Linked DNA regions of Xenopus tropicalis. The protein of the gene in region 2 binds, or shares a complex with, the protein of the main gene of each other region. Links are inferred from orthologs where the notes say so. Each region holds a gene or a part of one and is shown on either strand. Other genes may lie near its edges.

Evidence for each region. Proteins that work in one complex are often made in the same cells at the same time.
Region 1: chuk (region 2) and nfkbia share a complex: the UniProt entries of both Homo sapiens proteins name them as parts of the 70-90 kDa complex. The link is inferred for Xenopus tropicalis from reciprocal best matches to the Homo sapiens genes CHUK and NFKBIA.

What each region holds. Positions count from the first base shown.
Region 1 is NC_030684.2:109,511,475-109,516,480, forward strand, and holds the start of nfkbia (NF-kappa-B inhibitor alpha), read right to left. Parts: upstream 3,221-5,006; 5' UTR 3,101-3,220; coding exon 2,865-3,100; intron 1,695-2,864; coding exon 1,586-1,694; intron 1,234-1,585; coding exon 1,026-1,233; intron 923-1,025; coding exon 834-922; intron 721-833; coding exon 460-720; intron 50-459; coding exon 5-49; 3' UTR 1-4. UniProt on the Homo sapiens protein: Inhibits the activity of dimeric NF-kappa-B/REL complexes by trapping REL (RELA/p65 and NFKB1/p50) dimers in the cytoplasm by masking their nuclear localization signals.
Region 2 is NC_030683.2:110,589,226-110,594,325, reverse strand, and holds the start of chuk (inhibitor of nuclear factor kappa-B kinase subunit alpha), read left to right. Parts: upstream 1-1,609; 5' UTR 1,610-1,648; intron 1,649-5,100.

The DNA of each region.
Region 1 (5,006 bases), on a different chromosome or scaffold from region 2:
CAGTCTAATGCAGCGGCCTCCCCCCTATGATGCAGTCGTCATACATAAGCTGTTAGACAAAAGAGAGAAAGAAAACTATTTAGAGCCAAAAATTGTTATACATAAACCTTATTAAGCGACAACTTTATTGCAAGAGAGTTACATGTTGGACCAAAACATAACTCAGGGGTTGCTACTGAACCCACTTTTTTCTAACTTAAAAGGAAGAAGATGATCACTAATCTAAAAATGGATGGGTTTATGGTTTTATCAGTCTCCGTAGCCCCTGCCAAATCTCATCCCTGCCTCACCCTAAATGCTTTATTTTATTTTAGCTGCCCAAACTGCTAGGGCCTGCACAACCCAACAGATTATTAAAAATTCTTTAACATTAGGCTAATTATTACATGTGCTTGAAACTGGTTTAACTGCCATTCATTCCCATGCCATTACTATGATGAACTCGTCTCTAGGTCTCACCTCATCATCATTATATTCATATTCGGAGTCAGAACTGTCTTCCTCTTCACTCTCTGGAAGGTACTGCAAATTCTTGTGTGTCACTTCAACCAGCTGTTGTTGAATCAGCATGTTATTTCTGCCCCATGTGAGCTGGCACGGAGAGTAGCCTTGGTACGTGACTCTGTTTACATCTGCTCCGTGCTTAAGCAGCAGTTTCATCAGGTCGTAGTTCTGCAGGTCCACGGCCATATGCAGCACAGTGCGACCATTGCAAGGCTCCTGTGGTGAGGGAAACAGAAATTTCTCTTAGATCTAGAGGCAAAATTGAATCCAATAGACATGGCAGGAAGAAACATCAGTATGTAGCCAAGTGAAGTAGGGGGAATACTGACCTGGGCATTTATATCAGCCCCCTTATTAATGAGATTTTCCACAATTGCAAGATAGCCATGGATCGATGCCAGGTGGAGGCACGTGTGACCTGCATCGGAAAGAAAGATATTAGCAAGGCAGTTCTAATTCTAATTTGCCAAGTAGCACAACAACACACGTCTAAAGGTTTATAGATTAAGTTTGATACATACCATCATAGTTCACAGATTGCAGAAGTGCTGGCAGTTGTTTCTCACAATACTGGAAAATGACCCCAACTCCCCGAAGCGAGCCCTGCTTGCAGGCAATGTGCAAGGCGGTGTTGCCACAGAAGTCTTGGATTTCTGGATCACAACCAGCCTGGAGAAGTGACTGGCTGATGTCTTGTTGTTCGGTGATTACTGCCAGATGTAGTGCTGTCTGCAGAAAAGACATTAAAAAAAAAAAGAAAAATCAGTAAATTCATTCTCATTAAACACAAAATTGAACTTGCAGAATAAGCTTGTACTATATTCTATCCCTCATGAACATGCTATGAGTGCACTGACTATTAATATTTTAAGTGCTGGCCAACTTACATGTCATAGGTCAATTATTCCACAAACTGGCCCTCTATTATACTTTATATGTTAAAATTCCTTTGGAGGGCCACATCCGGCCCACGGGCCTCCAGTTGGACAGCCCTGCCCTAACCGACAATGGTGGCACATGACAAGCTAATCTAGAAATAAAGTTTTTACAAGGTTTAGAAAAAAAATAAAAAGTAAATTACCTGGTGCAGATTATTCTGCTTGTTCAGGTAAAAATGGTCCCTGTATGAACGTTGGATTGCCTCCTTCACCAGGGTTTTCTCTTCATGGATAATTGCCAAATGGAGAAACCTAGAAGGGAACATAAAAAGGACATGTTAAAATAGAGAAGCAAATTTGTGTCATTTAACCATAAAAAAAGAAAAGATGAACTAGCAGGTTTATGGGAAATGACAAACTAGCTTTCCAATCTTAGCATCTTATTACAAAATGTCATTTCTGTATTTACTATTTCATCATTCAGAAGTAGAAAATGTACCCCCCCCTCCCCTTTGGGAACCAGTAAGTGAAGTGGTGTTAAGGTTCAGTGTGTGGGAAAGATCGAGGTGAATAAAACTTCATAAATTTAGAAACTGCCAAGCAATAGGAAATAATAATTCATAATGAACCTATTTCATCATAGCGGCATGTCGGTGAGCTGCAATACTAGTCAGTGGTGACACAAGTGTGTACTTCCCCCTCCCCCAGCCAACTATGCAATTGTGTAAGTCTGGGGATTTTTTCTTCTCTAGATCTGTCTGTTGTTTTCCGCTTTCTGCTGTGAGTGTGAGAGTGTGTGTGTGTGCAGTTGTGTTCCTGGCTACTGGCCAGGGACTTTCCAAAGCCAGAGTCCTGCCCCTGGGTGCCTGCCAGCCCCCACCCCTCTGAGGCAGCAAGTCAGAGAACAAGGTGTCCTCCCACCCCCCCTCCCTCCAGCTCACACGAAGAAGGGAAAACCCAGACAGATATGGCGTCTCTTCTGCACCAACAAAAAAATTCCCCTACCAAGAACAAACATGCACCAAGCCATCTAACAGCTGCCCGGCGTTGCTGCATGCTTGCAAATACCAATGCATGATATAAAAAAAGCATTAAAAGCACAAGGGTTTTTAACTATTTGCACAACTTACTAATACTGCATGTTTATGGTTGCATGAAAAAGCTGCACAATAAATTGCAGTGTTATGCAGTGTAGCCTGCCCCATGCACCTAACTGTGCATTCACCATAAAGAAGTCATGCATTAGTAAATATCTACATATCCTACACTAAACACTGCCCCAAACCTAGGTGTCCCTGTTATATATATATATATATTAGTGCAGCACTATAGAGTACTATCCCTTTATCAGTATATACACTGTGCAAGGCAGATGTAATGGTTTTAGATGTACTAATACTAAGGTTCATCGCCCCTATACAATATCAGTAGATACTGAGCACAATCCCCAGCCATATAACGAACCCATTCTCTATCACTTACGTGTCTCCATCTTCGTTGACCTCTTTCTTCCATGGCTCCGGCTCATAGTTCGATGTGTCCGGCGGGCCCTCCATTCTCATGTTGCTGAGGTCAGTAATGATAGCCGTGTATTCCTCCTCCTTCAGGGAGTCCAGGCCGCTATCAATGCGATCGTCCTGCAGCAGTTTGTCCTTCCGGAGATCCCTAGCTTCTCCCTCCATCATATTCCCTTGGTAATCGTGAAAAGGCACAGACATGGCGGCGGCCGGTTGTTGAGCTTCCCCGCAAAATAGCTTAGAAGACACTGTAGAATCCCAGTTGCGATAGTGAAGTTCTGTAGCTGTAGCCTCCTCTATACTAATCCCATCCGATCAGAGCGACTTCTGGTAGCGATCTGGCAGCTCCCTCCCCCAGCAGGCTACTTTTACATATACAGCCGGGGTTTTTTCTGGGTGGAGCCGAGCTCAGTTTCCTACTTGTGAACTATTATGTACTCTGGGAAATTCCAAGAATAAGTCAGTATAGGAACACAATGAACCTGACGGAGCCAGTTCTGTGGTACAATAAAAGGAAGAGCGCAGAAATATGTACAAGGCTCAGAAATTCCCTTTTTTCAGACGTGCGCAGCTACTCCATGTACATTCCTCTCAGCACACTCACCATTCCTGGGACACACTGGGGGGATTCGGGCAAAAATACACATTAGTTCCCCACATCATACTCGGCATTTATATGCGTTAAATATACCTTCGTCTGACAGACTATTGATATTATGCTAAATACATAAGAGCTCAACGTCCGGGGAGCCATTTGCATTTTGCACCTTAACCCACACACACAACCGACTTGCACCTAATGATTGATGCTAATGCCATTTTGTTTTATTTCAGCAACTTCCAGAAACGAGGGGTTTACAAACAATGCAACTTTCGCGCAATGTTCCCCAAAAGGCTGCAAAAATTGCGTCATAAGCAGCAAGATTACACTGGGATTCTGGGGAATAACGTTGCATTGTGGGTGAAACATGGAATTTTGCACTCTTTTGTGCATTGTAGTAAGGCTTTCCCACTGGAAAGAAATACAGGTCTTCCTAAATTTTCATCTCTCTACCCAGTTAACATTGGGATATTGCAGTATTTTAACTGGTCAGGCCAGTATAATAACCTCCAGGTGGCAATCCTAATTGCAGTTTGCATTTGCTTTAAAAAAAACATAAGCCCCTTTGTGCATTATTGTTGGGATGAAATGAGATTGTATGAATTTAATAGTTATTATTTTTATAACGATAATAGTTTCAGGTACCTTGCTTAGGTGAAATAACTTAATTGCCATTTGCCGAAGGTTATCTGTCCGTAATTCTTGTGTGGGAATAAAAGTAGTAAACCAAAAACATCATGGAATACTTTGACTATACTATTGTGCGCTCTGCACTAGTGATGTGCCCAGGCCCGGGCCTAGGGCGGCATAAACATAGGGGCGGCATGCTGCCCCGCCGCACGCAAATTTCAAAATTTTGCTCCCATACGGAGCAATGGGGACCTCTCCCCACTGCTCTGTATGGGAGTTTTAACTTTGGCGCATGCGCATTAGCGCGGCGGCAGGGGAGGAGGAGGTGGTTTGCGCATGCGCGCTCGCACGGCGGGTAGGGGGCGCCAAATGGGGGCGGCCTCGGGGCGCGTCATTTAGAAATCCGGTGCTGGATGTGCCCCCCTGACACAAGGGGCATATATATTATAGTGTGTAAGCCAAAATCAGCTGTGATGTTGCATATAGCATTTAATAAGCAATTAGATTTTAATGGTCACCTACAAGTTAAGGTGGCCATACACGTTACAGTTATCAACCTTCCTGCGACCATTGGCAAAAACAATAAGAATTCTACCCCTATTTGACGATTCAGCCCTTAACGTATGCTTATGCTCAGGCGCTTCAACAGTGCCCGATCAAAATATTTTACCCTGCCCGATTGGCAAGACGACCAATATCCAAGGTTTTTTGTGATATTGGTCACTTCGTCGATCCACTATACATACACCGAATATCGAATGTTGGCTTACACAGTATAATAAATATACCCTTAAGAGAGTAGGTGCAGCATCCCTTAGGCCACATTGGGGCGGCATTTGGTGCCAAAACTCCCCTAAATACTGCAAACCCCATGAC
Region 2 (5,100 bases):
CACTGTCGGACTGAGGACCACATCAATGAGCTGATGCAGTCCCTGATCTGACAGAAAAATCCAACCTGCCTGATCAACACCTGCCCGTTGTTCAGCCAGATATGGATCAGGAGGGCCAGACGGGGGGCCCCATACATGGGAGGATAAGCTGCCGAATCAGTCTAAAAAACTCGAATTGGCAGCTTAAATCTGCCTGTGTATGGCCACCTTAACTTTCTATTAATTGGCCTTCCCAGTCCATAATGAATACTGCTGCTAGGCTCATACACCTCAAAAATCGATTATCCTCTGCCATGTCCCTCTGCCAATCCCTGTATTGGCTTCCGCTACCATGACCCTCACATTCAAAGCACTTTATATCTCTGCCCCACATCTCTAAAATCATCTATAGATACCAACCAAACTGGTGGTTACACTTCTCTACTAACCTTATCTCTCATTCCCATCTCATATTTATTTAGAGAAGCTTCCCCTCATTTAGTATAGCAGAACTTACTGAGTGCTACTGAATACCCTATGCTACATCTCTCATCTTGCTGACTTCTGATCTTGCCCATTCCCACACCTTGATCTTGCCCATTCCCACACCTTGATCTTGTCCATTCCCACACCTTGATCTTGCCCATTCCCACACCTTGATCTTGCCCATTCCCACACCTTGATCTTGCCCATTCCCACACCTTGATATTGCCCATTCCCACACCTTGATCTTGCCCATTCCCATACTTTGATCTTGCCCATTCCCACACCTTGATCTTGACCATTCCCACACCTTGATCTTTCCCATTCCCACACCTTGATCTTGCCCATTCCCACACCTTGATCTTGCCCATTCCCACACTTTGATCTTGCCCATTCCCACACCTTGATCTTTCCCATTCCCACACCTTGATCTTGCCCATTCCCACACTTTGATCTTGCCCATTCCCACACTTTGATCTTGCCCATTCCCACACCTTGATCTTGCCCATTCCCACACCTTGATCTTGTCCATTCCCACACCTTGATCTTGCCCATTCCCACACTTTGATCTTTCCAATTCCCACACCTTGATCTTGCCCATTCCCACACCTTGATCTTGACCATTCCCACACCTTGATCTTTCCCATTCCCACACCTTGATCTTGCCCATTCCCACACCTTGATCTTGCCCATTCCCACAACTTGATGTTGCCCATTCCCACACCTTGATCTTGCCCATTCCCACAACTTGATGTTGCCCATTCCCACAACCCTTTCTTCTTTTAAATTGGAAGCTCTTTTGGGCAGGGCCCTCTTCACCTCTTGTATCGGTTATTGGTTGCTTTGTATGTAAGTCTGTATGCCCAATGTATTGTACAGCGCTGCGGAATATGTTGGCGCTTTATACATATAAGTTAATAATTATAATCTAATTTATTCCTTTTATTTAGACAATCTAATGTGATATTTGGATCCTTTACATATAAATACCATTAGAGGGTGCTAAAGGTACAAAGGACTCCTGTGAGGAAGCCAGGAGAGCTGTGAGTGGCGAGGCTAGAGGTGAGCATTAGGACCCAGCAGGCACCTGGAGGAAAGTCACATGGGCGGAAGTGAAGCAAAATAGTGAATCAAAGAGGGACTGAGGAAGAGTAAAACAACAACACAGGACACTTCCCTACTCCAAGTAAGTTGTGTAAATGCATGTGGGGGTGAATTTACACTATGGGCTGTGTGTGATTTTGTTTTAGAGGGAGCACAAGTGGCGGAACAGAACTTGTTATACCCCCCTGCCCTTAGTCTCTGGCTCATCCAGACGTCTGTGTGTCACGTATAAATGGAACGAGTTCCTTCAGAACTGTAAACATGACAAAACTCGCCATCATGCAATTCTGCCTTATTGAATAGGTGACTAGTGGTTTAAAGGACGTCAATTCAAAAAAAGAATTCTATGGGGGGGTTTAGGGCCCACCGGGGCTACCACCCCAGGGGCCCCACACCCCCAAGGTGCTCTTCCAGCTGCGCCCCCCCTAACCCCACGCAGGGGCCCCGCCACCTGCCTGACATCCTCCCCTGAATGTGTGTAAGTGAAATGCGTCAGGGGAGGACACCGGCGGCCGGGGGAGCGGTAACAGGCAGGGTCAGACTGGGCCGCCGGGACACCGGGAAAAATCCCGGTGGGCCCCGGCCCTAGAGGGCCCCAGCGGCCCAGTCCGACCTTTGCCAGCGCTCCCCCTACTGACTGTTCCTCCCCGACGCGTTCAATTTATATGCGCTCTCGGAGGACATCAGGCGGGGGCCCTGCGGGGGGGGTTAGGGGGGCCCCTGGGGGGGGGTTAGGGGACACGGCTGGGGCACCTGCAGGGCCCCTGGGTAACAGGGATTGGGTCTGGGCCGCTGGAGCCCACCGGGTTTTTTCCTGGGAATCCCATTCCGACCCTGATTCTTTGCCTAATAAGCGAAGACATAATTCTAAGCAACTTCACAATATACATTCATACAAATTTGTATATATTATTGCTGTTAAAACAATGTGTTACATTAATAGTGTTACATTGTTTTGATGCAATATAACACAAGCCAGCTGACTGTGCAACATTGAGTCTAGGAAGGTTTTTAAACAGGAGTTAAGCAAATGCAAACCCTAAAAACATTCATTTTTAGGCTTTAGTTCTCCTTTAAAGCACTACAATTATTAAATAAATTTATATTGAAAAGTTAGCAAAATTTCATTTTTTTTGGTTGACTTTTAAAGGGGTTAAATGGATTTGGGTAACTGAGTTCAGAGTACAGGTATCAGACCCCTTATCTGGAAACCCATTACCCAGAAAGTTCCGAATTACGGAAAGGCCATCTCCCATAGACTCCATTGTATTCCTTTTTCTCTGTAGTAATAACAGTACCTGTACTTGATCCCAACTAAGATATAATTACCCCTTATTGGGGGCAGAACAGCCCTATTGGGTTTATTTAATGGTTAAATGATTCCCTTTTCTCTGTAATAATAAAACAGTACCTGTACTTGATCCCAACTAAGATATAATTACCCCTTATTGGGGGCAGAACAGCCCTATTGGGTTTATTTAATGGTTAAATGATTCCCTTTTCTCTGTAATAATAAAACAGTACCTGTACTTGATCCCAACTAAGATATAATTACCCCTTATTGGGGGCAGAACAGCCCTATTGGGTTTATTTAATGGTTAAATGATTCCCTTTTCTCTGTAATAATAAAACAGTAGCTGTACTTGATCCCAACTAAGATATAATTAATCCTTATTGGGGGCAAAACAATCCTATTGGGTTTAATTACTGTTTAAATAATTTTTTTTAGTAGACTTAAGGTAGGAGATCCATATTAAGGAATGACCCCTTATCCGGAAAACCCCAGGTCCTGAGCATTCTGGAATGTATAGTATGCAGTGCATTCTAGCCTGCTCCAAAATGGTTGTTGGCATGAAATGAGGCACCATAATGGGCATCCTAGCAATTAAGCCTTTTATATATGTGTAAATATAGTAACAGTGGTGTCCAAGAGGTTAAATGATTTGAGCCAGGCTGTATGCTATGCAGGGCATCCCTGCCTGTCAATCTATACTTTGATATCTGGGACACAATTATCAAAGTATAGATTGACAGGCAGGGATGCCCTGCATAGCATACATCTTATTTCAGCCTGGCTCAAACTGCGGCATAGAGGCGGGGCAGGCAATATATGATTGACAGCTCAGATTTTTAAATATATTTATAACGGGTATGAATGATTTATTTTAAAAAAAGGGTTGGGTTTCATGTTTAATTTTGAAAGAACTTTTATTATACAGCTTTTTATGACTGGGTGACAGGTCCCCTTTAAAACACAAGTTACTAGTATAAACAGGCAAAATATCCATACTCCCCACCTAAATGCCACTTTTCATTCCCAAAACCATTCCAGGTTGAAAAGATATGAATATAATGCAGGTCATCCCTGTCTGTGCATATACATTGAAATCAGTGGGCCAAAGTCATTTAACCCTTTAAATCATTAGTTATTCATCGGACCATATTAGAAACTAATGCCACTTTTCCTGCACAGAACTGTTACAGGCAAGGGTAGAACAAGATACATAGTATGTGGGGGATCCCTGCCTGCCAATCTACCTGTGGCCCAAGGTCATTTAACCTTTTCAACCAGCCCATTACTTATTCAGAAAGCCAGAATTGCAAAGATGCCCACTTTGGAGCCACTTATCCTTTCCAGAATCCTTTCGGGCCAGGCCAGAACAGGGTGAATACAATATGAGGAATCACTGCCTGAAAATAGTTTTAAATCAGCAGCCCAAAGGCATTAAACACCCTCAGCACCCCTGTTACTTATTCAAATCGGCATATCTTGGGCCAGGCTGGAAAGTGGTGCATACAATGCACCCTGCCTGCAAATATATAGGTTTATAGCAGTAGCTCAAACTTATTTAACCCCTTTAGCACATGTTACTTATTCAAATAGGCAGGATTGCAATGATGGCCAGATTAATGCCATGTTTCTTACCCAAAACACTTTCGGGCCAGACCGGAACTAGGTGCATACAATGGGGCGAATCCCTGCCTGCAAATATATATTTTTAAATCAGTGGCCCAAAGTCATTTAACTCTTTAAATCATTAGACACTAATGCCACTTTGGGGCCACTTTTCCTGCCCAGAACTATTTTGGGCCAGGCTGGAACAAGCTGTACATTATGTACGGAACCCTGTCTATGAATGTATACTTTTAAAACTGTCGCCCAAGGTCATTTCTTTTAAACACTAGTTACTTATTCACTGACTGAATTAGAAACCAACTTCAAGGCACAAATAAGAAACTGGCAGAATAAGAAACCAAATTCAACGCTGTCCAGTCTCGGACTGGCCCACCTGGATACCAGGAAAACTCCCAGTGGGCCCAGGCTTTCAATGGGCCCTCCTGCTCACTCAACCATTTGCCTTGTATGCCTATACCATGGCCATTACTCAATTCTATATGAGAAGAAACAAAAGAAATAGAGGAAAGGATAGATAATACTATGTAAAAAGATGTATTTAAGAAATTAAAGAAAGTGAGTAAACAGTGAAGGAAAAGGGGTCTGGAGAGTGGGCCTTAGGTCTAAAGGTTTTCAGA